Caenorhabditis elegans: one gene and its partner. The protein of the gene in region 2 purifies or fractionates together with the protein of the main gene of each other region. This does not show direct contact. Each region holds a gene or a part of one and is shown on either strand. Other genes may lie near its edges.

What was found.
Region 1: the proteins of C03E10.3 (region 2) and prcc-1 fractionate together in Caenorhabditis elegans (co-fractionation; one large-scale study listed by BioGRID). This does not show direct contact.

The regions. Positions count from the first base shown.
Region 1 is NC_003282.8:13,089,188-13,097,016, reverse strand, and holds prcc-1 (Proline-rich protein PRCC), read left to right. Parts: upstream 1-3,221; 5' UTR 3,222-3,260; coding exon 3,261-3,326; intron 3,327-3,384; coding exon 3,385-3,888; intron 3,889-4,620; coding exon 4,621-5,181; intron 5,182-5,633; coding exon 5,634-5,720; 3' UTR 5,721-5,830; downstream 5,831-7,829. Other genes in the region: rfc-3 (Replication factor C subunit 3), read right to left, coding at 79-255, 317-1,028, 1,073-1,248; C39E9.12 (SAP domain-containing protein), read right to left, coding at 1,638-1,843, 1,893-2,630, 2,677-2,827, 2,872-3,006; col-132 (Nematode cuticle collagen N-terminal domain-containing protein), read left to right, coding at 5,950-6,087, 6,682-7,374; spin-2 (Major facilitator superfamily (MFS) profile domain-containing protein), read right to left, coding at 7,533-7,627, 7,701-7,829.
Region 2 is NC_003283.11:11,283,830-11,291,069, reverse strand, and holds C03E10.3 (G protein-coupled receptor), read right to left. Parts: upstream 4,657-7,240; 5' UTR 4,594-4,656; intron 4,495-4,593; 5' UTR 4,379-4,494; intron 4,252-4,378; 5' UTR 4,184-4,251; intron 4,110-4,183; 5' UTR 4,065-4,109; coding exon 3,770-4,064; intron 3,681-3,769; coding exon 3,499-3,680; intron 3,445-3,498; coding exon 3,364-3,444; intron 3,291-3,363; coding exon 2,844-3,290; 3' UTR 2,530-2,843; downstream 1-2,529. Other genes in the region: gly-20 (Alpha-1,6-mannosyl-glycoprotein 2-beta-N-acetylglucosaminyltransferase), read right to left, coding at 5,365-5,503, 5,626-5,772, 5,892-6,679, 7,135-7,240.

The DNA of each region.
Region 1 (7,829 bases), on a different chromosome or scaffold from region 2:
CCCACACAACCATAATGTAGTTCGTTTCAAGTTTATGATTACACAAAAGTAGAATAATATAATACGCGGGGACAGAGATCACTTGGGTTTAGAAGCATTAGTAAGGTAAATGTCCATGAAAGCGGCGACGAATCCTTCAAGATGGAAAATTGCTTTTTGTCCGAGAACAAGGCGATGCTCGAATTTCGCTGCTTCACTGACAACTTCACGTGCAATTTGTGGCGGACATTTGGGAAGGAGATGCTCGAGAAGTTTCTGAAAATGTATTTCTAAATATTTTTGAACATTTTATACTATTTGTGTGCTTATAACTCACCTTAAAAATGACAGTTGGTGGAATACATCTGGAGAGCAATTCGTACAATCGTTCGCGAACTTTCAGAAGCATATCGGAGCTCTGTTTCTGGAGGATCAGACGAGCAGTCTCTTGGATATAAATCTCCCATTCCGGAACCGGAATTACTACACTTTCAGCCACACCACTCTCGTTCTCCATTCTTAAAGCCTCAGTCATCAGAATAGCTCTTCTCAGATTTCCTTCAGACTTCTCCACAATCTTTTGCAAAACGTTCTCCGGAAGTAGAAAGCTCTCCCGTTCAATCACTTTCCGCAAGACTTTGGTCACATCTTCATCGGTTGGAGCTGGCACATTGATGATGATGCAACGAGATTGAAGTGGCTCAATGATACGGGACAGGGATTCACAGCTCAAAACGATTTTACAGTTATTCGCGTACTTCTCCATAGTTCGACGAAGTCCGTGTTGAGCATCACGAGTCAGTGAGTCCGCTTCACAAAGAACGACAACTTTGAACGATCTTTGAGAAGTTGATTCGATTTGAGACGTTTGTGCCATTTCTTTAACGAGATCCTGCACAACAACTCGATCATAGATTCCAACATCAGACGGCGTCATTTCGATGTGATAATTGCTCGAGACAGTCTGTATTTCAAGTTTTTTATTCGACGGACTAGTGAACGACTTCATGATGAGCTGCGTTTTCTCGACTCCAACACCGTAAAGCTCTCTGAAAAATATTATTTTATTTACTGAATTTACCAATAATTAAACCTCAACAGACACTTGATCCGTGTCTTTTTTCCAGCTCCACTGGGACCACAGAACAAGAGATGCGGCATACAGTCTGCGGAGAGAAACTTCAAATGATTGGCCTGCTCGATGTGATAATCAACGCCATCCTTTCCCAACAAGTCCTTTGGTCGATATTTGTCCACCCACAACGCCATTTTTGCACTAGAAAAGATTAATATTATATTGTCAGAGTAATTAAAGTCCAAAATAAGCGCGAGAAATAGAAGGTGGAACCCGAAAAGTAATTCCGCGGCACGCGCTTTTATGGTAAATTAAAAAATTAAACCGTGCCGCGAATTGCGCTTCGGGAATCCGGATCCACCGTATATTTCTTGCTAAAAAAATTAAAAGACATATTCAAAGATATCACAATTGTCGCAAACAATTGAATAGAGGAATAAATAAATAGAAAATAAATAAAGAGAATTGTAATAAATTAAAAGAATTCATTTTCAGAAACTCGACAAGTCAACAACGAAATATTTTACAGGTTTAGCCTAGTGAGACGAGTGAGTGAAGATAAATAAGAAAATAATTGAGATATCTACTTGATATTCATTTTACGCTTGAGTGCGATAATGTCGTCACGGCGCTTCTTGTTCTCCACTTGTTGTTTCTCGAGGTTCGTGGCAGCTCTTCCGGGGATTAATCCTTCCTCCAGTGCCAAAGTGAACTCGCGATCCGTCAATTGAGTCGTGTCGACGAACACTTTTCTCGTAGAGTGTGGTGTGTAACCAGCACGTCGTGGAACTAAAAATTGCTATGAATTAGCGAAAAAAAGATAAATATGAATAGTTACCTCTAGTTGGAGTGGTTCCTTTTGGCGTGGAAATGTACTCGGTGAATGTATCATCTTCTGGGACAGTTGCAGGAATGATTTTTCGAGAAGTTAAACGGCATGGTTTCGGGATTTGTGACTTGGTGAGCTTCTTCACGTCCACATGAGATCTTGCAACGGACTTTGTCTTTTTGGTAGAGGTGGTGGCAGCAGATGACGATGAGCAGCCAGCTCGTGAGCTGACAAGAGCGGGAAAATCATCAGCAGATTTATCCCCGAATTGGAAGGACATTTTCTCAGGATCCTGAACTTGCCAATTGCGCGCAGCAGATCTTGTAGTTGATCTATCAACTGGGTCACGTCTTGGCACACTTTTCGGGGTAGCAAGTCTCCTGATAGCTTCTGGGACGTCGCCGGTCATGAATTCGTGTCGTTTCTTCAATCGTTCTTGACGCTCTCCGAGTGTTTCTTCTTTTTCCATCTCTCTTGCATGAATCATTGCGAATCTGTCTCTTCCACTGGATGGAGCACGCTGACGAACTGGCGTAATTCCTCTGTTCTCGATCGGCATTCCTGGTCGCTCAGATGTTTGAGGAGTCGACGAACTAGCGCGGAGAGACAGTCTTGTCGAAAGACGATGAACTCTCGGGCGTGACTTCACCTCGAAGCTTTGCAGATCGATTCCCAAACTGCCACAGAGACGGTTTCTCAAGTCATCATCCAAAACGACAGCAACCGCATTTGTCGGAGTATTCTCGTCTGTAATAAAGCTGTTTAAATTTCAACTAAATGGAATATAACTTACGAACAAATCTGCCAGTAGTATTCTCAGTTTCTTCTTCCTCTTCAACTGTGAATGTGCGATTGGCAGGTGCTTCGTCGGTGTCCATAGCCTCGGCTTCCGGCTCTTCCCTGATTGCCTCCCCGTTTCCGGCATTATTTTGGCCAGCGAGAAACTGAAAAAGTTAAATTAATCACATTGTTTCGACTGAGTTCAAACCTCCAAAAGACGCGATTGAAGTTCCGATTTCTTTCCCGCAGTCGAAGCCCTTTTCTTCTTTAACTCCTTGCGAAGCTTGTCGCATGTCATGTTGAGCACGTCCTCTTCGGCGAGCTCTTTATTTTTGGCTGACATTTTACTGAAATTATTATTTTTATTGAATAGTGAGAACAGAAAAGCAAATGAAACAAGGAACAAATGAACAAGAAACAAAATAGGACTCAAGAAATTTCCCTCCATCGCTGTTTGAAAAATTGTGTTTTTCGCGCGGTGTACGTTGGAGCGCTGTTGCTTTCTTATTGTGTGTAGTCCTCTCGAATAAAGAAATCAATATTCGTATTGTTTATTTCGTCTGAAATTATTCGTTTCTTCGAAGAATTCTTCTCAAAATGGGCCTTGTGGATTACGCAGGAAGTGAATCAGAAAGTGATGAAGAAATGGAAACACAACAAAAAGTAAGCAAATTATTCTTTATTCAGTTTGAAAACATTTTCGAATTTTCCAAAATTTCAGAATTCACTCGCTCCACAAAATCAACAACTCGTCGATGATGAAGCATTTTTTGACAATACAGAAAAATCAAGCTCACCAAACATGAACAAAGAAGATGTTCTCGAAGAATTAGTAAAACCGAAAGAATGGGAGGTTAAATTGGCCGAGAAAGCAAGGAGAAAGCTGGAGAAAAAAGCTCTGAAAAAAGCACAAAAAGAAGAGAGAAAAAAGGAGAAAAAATTGGCGAAAAAAGCGATGAAAGTTGAAAAAATTCCGAAAATTGGTGGTGGAATTCAAAAAGCAAAAGGAAAAGTTATAATTTCGGCGTTCGGAGCTCTCGCAGGAATTACTGGCGAAAATTCCAGCGATGACAGTGATAATGAAGGTGCTGCTGTTGCTACAGTTAAGCCGAAGCTTGGAAACAGTTTTTTGTCAAACCTTCCAGCTCCAAAAGGAAGAGATAATCGTTCAGATGGTGCAAATGTATTCGATAAGTCCATGGTTCCACATTCAGTTTCTAAAAAGGTAAAAATTGAAAGTCGAGTGCGGATTCTGAGAAAATATACTTCTGATTTCGAATAACTAAGTAAAAAAATTTCCCTAATTTCTTATTTCAGCTTGAAATCGCCGATTTTCATTTGCGTCCCCATGAGATTTCCGAATTTTCACACCAGAGACGTCATGTGTCGATTTACGAAATGTGTGTATATTTACGAGATTTTCAATCTTAATCGGATGCTGATTTCCGGTTTTCTCAATTTTCGTCAGTTTTTGCCGAAACGTTTTTTGAAAATGTGTTTTTTTTTGAGGTTAATTAAACATTATAATATCAAAAAACTAACTAAATATTCGATTTTCAGTCAGGAAAAGCATATATTTGGATTTTCCGCTGAGTTGTGACCTAAGCATTGGAAATTTACTTGGTTTTTTGATAATATAATGTTTAATTGGCCTTAATAAACACATTTTCTCAAAACATTTTGTCAAAAACCGACGGAAATAAAGAAAACTCGTTGAAAAACAGAAATCAGCATCCGATAAAGATTGAAAATCTTGTAAATATACACAAATCTCGTAAATCGACACACGGCGTCTCTGGCGCGAAAATTCGCTGTTTCAAGCTAAAATATAAAACCGGGGAATTTTTGTTCGATTTTTGTCCCCATAAATATTAAAAATCAGGATAAAATTTCCAGATTTCTTCACTGAATTTTTATTTAATTTAAAACTTTAATTTTAAAACTCTTTCTCTTCCAGGCTACACCTGCTGCTGCTCCAGTTTTCAAGCCGGCTCCAGCTCCAAAACTGCCAGACGACAGTGATGACGATGATGACGGTCCAACCGATTTCTTCGGTTTCTCATCTGCTCCAACTAGAAAAGAATCAGAAATTCCATCAGAAATTCCATATATGACAATGAACAGCAGCATGGATGTAGTTGGGCCATCCCGTCCAGATGAAGGAATGGATCCTCGACAAATGTATGAAATGCCAGAAGAAGAAGAAGATGTTCAAGAAGGTCCATCTGCTTCAAATGCCTGGCTTCATCGGAAGATCAATGACGAGCAAGCTCATAAGCTTTTGATGCGATTCTCTCATGATATTGGACAAGAAGAACGTCGTTCGATCAACGAAATGGCCAATTCAATTGTCGATGTGAATGTGGATGATGCTCTCGGACCGGATGTTAAGACAAATATTATCAAGAATCTTGGACATCGCGCATTTGTTGAAGCAACTTCTGCTCCATTGCCACAAGTTCAAACTCAAGGACAAATGTCGAGAAGAAAGCATCAAATTACGTATTTGGCCAGCTTGGTAAGAGATATTCCAGATTTTATAGATTTTCAGGCTTTTACTTGCATCAAAAACCCAAAAAAAAAATCGCGAAAGAATGGAAAAGTCAATTTTTTAAAACTTATTTCTCATTTTTTGGCTGAATTTCTTGATGGAATATTCGGTCTTCAAAAAATTGAAGATTTAAAAAAAAACGAAAATTTTCAATTTTTTCGAAAACCGACAAATCGGAAACAATAATTTTACGGAAAAATACGAGAAAAATATAAATTCACCGAAAATGCAAAATCAATTGATTTCAATTACAAAAATACAGTTTTTTTTTCAAAATTAACAATTTATTTTAAAAAAATCGAAAAACCCGATTTTAGCCAAACAAAAGTGCAAAGTTGTCCTCGTGGAGTATGAAATCTGCGTAGATCAACACTTTTTAAGAGCTTGTGCTAGAAATCACATAATTCACTTAATTTCAGGCAGTATCCCGCGAGGAGCAGCTCAAAGATCAATGGGCCGATCAGAAGCAATCGAAGCGAATGGCGCGACAAAAGTACGGATTCTAATATCATTTCGAAATGTCTCATTAATCATTCAGTTTTCTCTCTCCCTTGTATTTGTGTGTTGTTTTGATGATAAACACCCATATAAACACGAAATGAATTCATTCGTTTTGAAAGTATAAGCACGTTATAATGATGAGAAAATTGCGCGATCGCTCGTTAAACGGGCATTAGCCGGCAGAGTACATAAGGCCGATTGGAAGGCAAGGAGGACAGGCAGAGATTGTCTGAAATGTCGAACAACTTCATTTGCGCAGCCGTCTCGGTTTCGTCGATACTCGTCGTCGGGTATATTACAGCGGGGCTGCTCATTTTCGCAGATTTTCGGACTTTTTATTCCACGGCACTTGATGACGTGGCAGAGTTCAATGTGAGTTTTTTCTGTAAAAAACACGACAATTTTTCGTTAAATCCAAGAAAAATCGTGCGCCTTTAAAGGTTACTGTAGTTTCAAACTTGTGCTGTTGCAGAATTTTAATCGATTTTCCGCGTGTTTGTATATAATTTTTAACAAATAACTATTTTTAAAACAATCGATGAAAGTTCTGCAAGAGCAAAAATTATCGATTTTTTCACAGTTTTTTGGCAAATATAACAATAAAAACACGTAAATTCATGAGAAAAACTGTGAAAAACCAGATACAAATTACGTAGCAACGAAAACACAGTACTCTTTAAAGGCGCACACCTTTTTTATTTAACAAAAGTTTTTCGTGTCGAGACCGGTGACCGTAGTTTCAGCTCAAAATGCACAAAATTTCTCGTGTGGGATAATAAGAAACTATGCGGAATACCAAGTGTTCCTTGTGGAAAAACATTAAAGTCTCTGAAACTGCAATAGTATAGTTAAAGATAACATTGATTCGAAAAATATTATCAAAGTTTTTTTTTTTTGAAATAATTGCTCACGACTCACGGCTCACGACGCGGCAATTTTTTTCATCAATCTGGCCTAATTTTTCAGAAGTTCGCAACTGAAGCCTGGGATGATATGATCGAAATCAATCGCTCCGTCGTAAGACAAAAGAGAAGTGGAGAATCAAAGTGTGGATGCATGAATAAGGTCAATAACTGCCCACCCGGACCTGCAGGACCACCAGGAGAGCCAGGAGCCCCTGGAGATGACGGATGGAATGGAGACGCAGGACAACCCGGACCAGACTTTCCACTCTTTGATCAATCCCTCATCTATCAAAGACCCCCATGCATTCGCTGCCCAGTCGGAGAGCCAGGACCTCCAGGTCCAGACGGAGAGCCAGGAGAGCAGGGACCACCAGGACCACCGGGAGTTGACAACTTTGAAGTTGGACATGATGGACCACCAGGTGTCGAGGGAGAACCTGGAGATGCTGGAGATCAAGGAGAAGACGGGGAGCCAGGTGTCGATGGAAGACCAGGCGCCAGTGGAATCAGAGAGATAGGAATGCCAGGAGCACCAGGGGCACCGGGTGTTGCAGGAGCTGAAGGACTCCCAGGCAAGGATGGAGAGCCAGGAATTCCTGGGCCAGAAGGGGAAGAGGGACCACCTGGAGCAGCAGGATTGGATGGAGAGCGGGGAGACGAAGGGGAGCCAGGACCTGAAGGACCACCTGGAATCCCAGGACCTGATGCAGCCTACTGTAGCTGTCCACTTCGTTCGGCACGTCTTGTCTTCTAATTTATTCCGAAACATTTTTTTTTATTTAAAAGAGTTTTTATTTATACAATAAAAATTAGCAGTTTACAAAAATCTTCACAAAAACGACAAAAAACCCGTTGTTCTAAAAATACATAAACCCAAATTATGGACATTAAAGCAATGAAATCAAGGAGGAATTAAAGTCGGGACGACGCAACGTCGTCGTTAATTCCAATCCGTTCCAAACTGTCAGTTGATGTTCGAATCGGCTTGGATTGAAGATCATCGAGACCTGAAATAATTCCAATAATAGCTGACTAAAATATACGTTTCCCCGACACCATACAAGAACAACGAGCACTTACCCATTTCCGCTCGGAACTTCTTCCGATCCGAGACCAGCGTGAGTGAGGACACAAAGTACAGTCCGGCAGAGAGCAAAAGCAGTGCCACGCAGCAATACGTGGCACTTACCAATGAATGATATTGATCTT
Region 2 (7,240 bases):
CTGAAGGCTTGTTTTCTGCTTTGAACTAAATTATAAAGGGATCGTGAACATGGTCTACCATTTCAGTCGATGTTAGAAACTTAGTTCCGCCTTGAATAATTATATTTAATTGAAAAAACATGTTCAAGTTCTATATTTTTATTTCATCTGCATTCCCTTTACATGTTGTAAAACTTAACATATCCTAAATAGGATAGCTTTCAATCAAAACAATTTTCCTATTTACACGATTAAAAAGTGGGAACACCGTTGTATGGATTAATTTATTGATTTAAAACAGCAGGAACAGCAGATACCATTTTCTTGATGTTCCCGGTATGCAAAATTGTTTGCTTTCTCGCTCTGTAATTGCTGCTATCCTTTGACTCCATTTTTCAGGGTTTTTAAAAAAAATTATCTGATCCTTTGATGGCATCATATTCAAAAGATCACACGGTTTTATGTCACTAATTATTACTCTTGAGAACCGTTTTGCTTAAATATAATGAGTAGTTGTTGTGACATTCATATCCCTCAGTCCCTGATGTACGTCAATGAATTTTATTTTCCAAGTCTAGTTTTATTTATTAGTTGATTTATTGCTCTTTGAATCTGAGCATCATAAAAATTTATCAAACTGTTAAACTTCGATTTAAATTGATTAAGTTTCGGTTTGTTCAATCAAGAATTAGTGTTTTACAAAGCCTAAAAATGTAAATCAATTTGACGTTTCAATTAAATTATCATTTTCAAAAGAAATAAATACAAAAAGTACAGGAAAATATTCTTGGGTCAGTTACAGTGCTGGCCAAAAAGATATCCACTTTTGGTTTTTTGTGTGTAACTTTTTTCTAAGTGGTTATTTTGTTTTGAAACTTCACCACAGTGTTCACAAAATCTAAAAACACAATATTCATCAAAAATGTTCAACAGATTTTGAAAAAACTTCAGAAAAATTCAAAAAAATCGAAAAACTAGAAATATTGAAAAAACCGAGGTTGCAAGGAAATGACAATTAAAGTACCGGAATATGAGCAATTGGATTTAAAAACAACATAATTATGCTTAATACTTTGTCGCGTATCCGTTTGCATCAATAACAGCTTGACAACGACGTGGCATCGAGTCGATCAGCTTGTGAATAACTGACATGGGGATAGCTTTCCAAGCGTTTTCCAACTGGTTGAATATGGCATCTGCATTTGAAGCCCGAATACCTCCAAGACGTCTTTCCAACTCTTCCCACAAATGCTCTATTGGATTCAAGTCCGGAGACTGACTTGGCCAATCGAGCAAATGCACACGACGACGTTGAAACCAGGAACGCACATGAAGAGAAGTATGCTTAGGATCGTTATCCTGCTGAAACACGAAGCCACGGCCCACATTTTGAAGTGCCCAGGGTCGCATTGTAGTTTCCAAGATTTTTTCGTATTGAAAACGATCCATAATGCTTTGGATTCTCCTTAGTGGGCCCATGGAAGTGCTGGTGAAGCACCCCCACACCATGACGCTCCCACCTCCATGCTTAACGGTTGGGCATTGATACTTTGGAGAGTACCTAGAGCCAACAGGACGACGTACCCAGGAATTTCCATCACTCCCGAACAAATTGAACTTGCTTTCGTCAGACCAGATGTGTTTAGCCCATTCCTGACGTCCCCAACGAAGATGCGCTTTTGCCCACGCAACTCGAGCCATGCGATTTTTCTTACTGATGAACGGTTTCTTGACTGGCTTTCGTCCGTGTAGTCCTGCTTGCTGTAAACGTCGACGAACAGTTCGTTTACTTGGTACAGGTTCATTTGGAGAACTTATAATCATTTGAATATCCGTGGCGGTCCTATGCGGATCTTCTCTTGCTGATCGGAGGATGTTGCGATCCATCCTATGGGTTGTCACTCGAGGCCTGCCGGGCGAGATTCTCAAAGCGACGGATTTCTAAACATTTATTATTAAAAAATAATATTTTTCGAACTCACCTCAGTTTGGTACTTCTTGATTACTTTCCAAATAGTCGACGGAGAACGTTGAATTTGCAGCGCGAGCATTTTCGTGGGTATTCCTTGTTCGAAGCCAGCTACAATGGCTTTCTTGACGTCCAAGGAAAGATTTTTACACCCAACAGATTTTACCATACCTTAAAAATAATTTATCAACCAAACAAATCCAGTGCAACAAACAGAGTGCGTTTTATTGATAATTCAAAAAAAATAATGAAAATTGGAAAAACGAAAAAATCAAAAAATTGAAATAAAATTCAGAAAAAATCGATAATCATGTAATGTTTGGTCCGCAAATTTGCGTTTCGTTTGCGAAACAATTTAATTCTTTGCGAAACTTTATTTGCTTAATTTGCGAAACATTTCGCTTTATGCACACGGAAAAATTCAAGTCAAATGGATGCTTGAGAAAAAAGTTACACACAAAAAACCAAAAGTGGATATCTTTTTGGCCAGCACTGTATACTGCACAAGTACACAAATTTGCTGCCTGTAAATGTATAGATTCTCCCGTTAAATGGCAACAATAGTTTTTACTTATTCAAGTATTTGTAATTCGGTTTTATTTTTCGCTTGACGCAATCACAATAAAACGGTATTTTATCACATAAATAAAAATGAGATAGAGGAAGTGTTCAATTTAAATGAGGTGACAAAAAAGAGATAGAGGTAAATATATGTTATTTGATTGGAGCTTAAATATAATATGTTTAAAAAACAATTGTTTGAGAAAGATGGTTCTCTAAATTGAATATTAAAAAACATTTTAATGACTTTCAGAAGAAAACAGGAAACCGGATTACGTGCACTCAGCATTTTCTACAAAAATTGACAGAAGTGACAGGGCAATCGGCTAATTAATTATTCCAAAATTTCGCGTGAGCCGTCTTCCAATAATATTTGATTGCTCGTACTAGGTACATTTCGTTTGTTATCCTTCATGAACTTTTTGTGGTGTTTCTCCCAACTTTTCTTCATTGAATCAATTGTTTCCGTTTGAGACATTTCAGCAAGAAGTTTGGATCCATCAAATCTTGGCCTTGGTTCAAGAGTTGGAGGGTCTTTCAGGTCTTTTGTCGCCAGGTAGAAAATATGACGAACAATGCGATCATGAAAATGAAGAAACACGGAAGGGAACACAATCGCTTCGATGCTTTTTAGAATTTCAAAGATTACAGTGGCAAAAGAACGGAATGGTTCTGTAAGATCCGATGGAATGTAGATGAAGATGATCCAGCAGAGAAGAATCAGAAAACGTGTTGTAGTGATATAGAACATCACTCTGCAGTTTTCAATTGCCTCCGAAATCTGAAGATAAAGTTTAAAAATATTTGTTTTGCTCAAAGTGTGATTAATTGATTTAATTAAAAAATTGTCTCACCTGGAATCTCACTTTCAATGTTTGTTTTCCCAGTTCTCTTTCCATAGCTACCTTCTTCCCGCCACGTACAAAAATGTTCATCTATAATTAATTTCATGTTTACTTCTGGATTTAATATCAAATAGATTCACTCACGACGATGTTTATCAAGCACATTCCAATAGAAATCTCATCCGAATATTGGAATAGATTGCCATGATGAGTGAATTCAGGAATAATGAAGCAGATGTACGCAACTACCATTGTGAAAAAGACTAGCATGAAACTTTTTGTGGCCTCTTTTTCGAACATTTTTTTGTAGAGTCCGATGTGTGCATCTGGAAAGGAAAATTGTAGAAAATAGGGACAATATTCAAGGCATAAGACTGATAGAAAATTGTCGGAAATAAGCTAGTTTCAAACTTACCGAGAAAGTAGAAAAATGTGGTGAAATTGATGATAAATCCCATGGTTACATTGACATTCTCAAATTTTCTCTGAATCTCTTCAGTATCAGGAATCAGTTTACAAATTGCCATGAAGAATGTTCCAAATGTAATGAGTACGTATGCACAACTGATTGTACCCAATTGGCCCCTTGTGAATGTGAAGAAGTATGTCCGAACTACAGCAACTTTGATAAATTGCCAATGAGAGTAAATGGAAGCAATCAATGTTACAAGTTGAATGACAACTTGAACAATTGGGAGTTTATCTCCCATCCTTGAAATCTTAAATAATTTCAAGAAAACTTGAATGAATTATTCCTACAAAAGATTAATTTTAATAAAACAAACAGAATCCCGAATCTCAAAAAAAAATAGATTAACTCGTTTTTTACCTTTTTCTCGTTTTTAAAGCAGAATCAATATATCAGAAACATCGTTTTCAATCCAAGGATTTTATGATCTGAAAAAATCAGAATCCGGCAACAAATGTATCATTATAAAAGTGTTTTCTGACTCAACTAATACAATTTTTAAAACTATTTTTAAATCAAAAAGAGGTGAAAAACAAGAAAATGTTACTCACTAACCGATCGAAAATGCACAAAAATTGAGCAGAAGAGTCAGTGATTAAGGGTTTTATAGTTAGATGATTGGCATTCTCTTGGGATATTGTGATCATGACAACCAGAAGCTTCTAGTAGAGCTGTAAGAAAAACTGCTCTGAAATGGGCGGAGTTTTGAATGTGTATAGAAGGAAGTAAAAATAAAACATCAGTGAAAATATGTGATATTTTAATATTACCGGTACAGAGAGTGTAGATAGTTAGAGAGTGACAGACATCCGGGACCCAATGGGGCGGGGCGCGCGGAAGAGACGATTTGTGTCGATTTACGAAATGATGACAACGAGGAAAACTTCGTAAATCGACACAAATCGTCTCTTCCGCGCGCCCCGCCCCATTGAGTCCCGGATGTCTGTCACTCTCTAACTATCTACACTCTCTGTACCGGTAATACTTCAGTTGGTCCCAACTCGACCATCTGAAGAGGGAACGGATACATTTTGAAACACTGTGCACCTTGTCACTTGTTTTTGCTTCCACAGATGAAGCCTTGCGCCTATAAGTAGAAACTTCAGAAATCTGCGAAATTACGAATTTAATTGTTATTGAAAGAATCTTGGAAATCTGTTCTAGCTTTAATATAGTTTATACGAATTTGCTCTTTAATGCCATCTTTAAAAATCTGAATCATTCATATAATTTTTGTAGACCCGGAAAAATGCGGAATACCATTAACATTATGATTTTGAGAAATGAAAGGAGCACTAGCATGCAATTGAGGTGGGGAATTTGGAAACAGGGTGGAAATTTCAACGAAACAGGAAAAGCGGTAAGAAACCCGTATTTGTAAGCGAGCAACGTCATCTTATGGTTAATTATGCAAGAGGGAAGCAAGTAGAAAACAACAAGAACCGGAAAACGAAACTAGAAATGGGCACCATTCTTACAGAAAAAAATATATATTGAAGAGGCAAGTCAACAAAATCCGTAAAAGAGGAAAGTTTTGAAGATTAAGAAGTTGTAGATGTGATTGTTTTGTTGGATGACGAGAACTGGATTTTTGAGTTGAGCAATTTATGGAGTACAGATGCAGATTGAGAAGAAACTCTAACCAATGGAGATTTGTTGATTTCGCATAGTTGACGGTCTCTGCAAACGAAGTTAAATTTTTTAAAAAATTGATAAAAATTGCATATCAAGATAAATGCTGAATTTTCGATAATTATAATTTCGGCTATAATTTACTAAATATATGTGTTGTTAAGCCCTACCTAATGTCACCCCATCCACCATTTTCTTTCGACGGCTTCAAAGATCTTCTCGAAGTGTCTGTCACAGATAAACTTGTCGGGAACAGAAGATCCTTATGCTGACGGAATAGTTCTTGTGTCGATTGGAGAGCTTTATGTGCTTCACATCTGAAATTTTGAAAAATTACATTAAATTTTGAGATTTTTCAATTAATGACTGATCCTCGGGATGCTGAAGCTTATTTCAAAATATGTTGAAACAGTTGATTATTTCGATAAAGTCTAACCTGTGCGTATGGACTCCACAGTCTCCTATATGTATAACTCGTGGACTTTTTGTGAATATGACCCGAAACCTTTGAGGTAGACATTTTGCTGAAATCTGCATCAACGACCAATCCCAGTTATAGTCATCCCATTTGCAAAACATCTCGGAGCATCCTTTGATCTTCTGCCACGTGTTCTTCTGAAGAGCCATTCCCATATTATGCTTGCTACTGTACCATGGGTGAACTCCGAGATGAGCTATGTCTTGACCGTATTTGTTAGTGGATTTCAAATAAAATCCCAGAGATATTATTTCGCAGTTTTCACAATATTTTGGACGATTTGATACAATAATATCAAGAACATGTAATGCATCTGGAGCCAGCATGTGATCTTCTTCCAGTAGTAGAACCCATGGATCTTTCATCGAATACTTCTCAACAATTCCATCAAACACAAAGTTCATCTTCCACCACCAATGATGTTTTATCTGTGTCAATTGAGCTACTCGATAGTTTCCATATTTATCCGGGCTACTCCAATTTGAACAATTCGTCTCTTGTGCTTTATCTCTCTTCATTTTCTCCGGACAATCGGAAGGAGACTGTCCTGGAAAAACTGTCGGAAACAGTTGCAAATTGTATGGATAGAAGATTTGGTAGACACGAGCGAATGTGATGTTACGGATCATTTCATTGATTATTCCGACATTGATGTCATGCGAGAAAACTAGTAATGTGTCTTCTATTCCTTTTGTATTTCGCATTGACTCAATGAGGTATTGCAAATAGACCGGCCGATCGTGTACCTGAAGAAATTTTTTTTTGAATAAAAAATAAATAATGTTTGGTAATGATCGAGGGCTGTAGATTTTTCGTTGCTTTTATTTTTGGAAAGAAATTTATTTTCGATTTGTTCAAAAAATTGAAAAACGCGAAAAAATTCATAAATATTAAATTTTAAGTTTTTTTTTCCAAAAATAAAAATCACACACGAAATTGTGTGCAACTTCGGGAAATATGTTTTCTTCAAAAATGTTCCAAAAATTTCAAAAAAGTGTTTTTGGAGAAAAATCTTGTTTTTTATCTTGAAAATAAATTTTTTTCAGATTCGGCCCTGATGGTAACCATAGAAAATACACATATTATAGTTTACCAATATTTTAAAGTTTTTTTTGTATTGTAAAGAACAATTTTTGCAACAAAAAAGTGTAACTTAACTAACTTTTTTCAAATTTCTATAAAAGTCCATCTTAAAAATTACCTGAATCACTAGAATTGTCTTCACAGTGGACAAATCTCCAAATTTCGCAGCGTTCAAAATGTCAAAATTTTCATTAAGAAAACTAACAGATTCGACGATTTCCGAT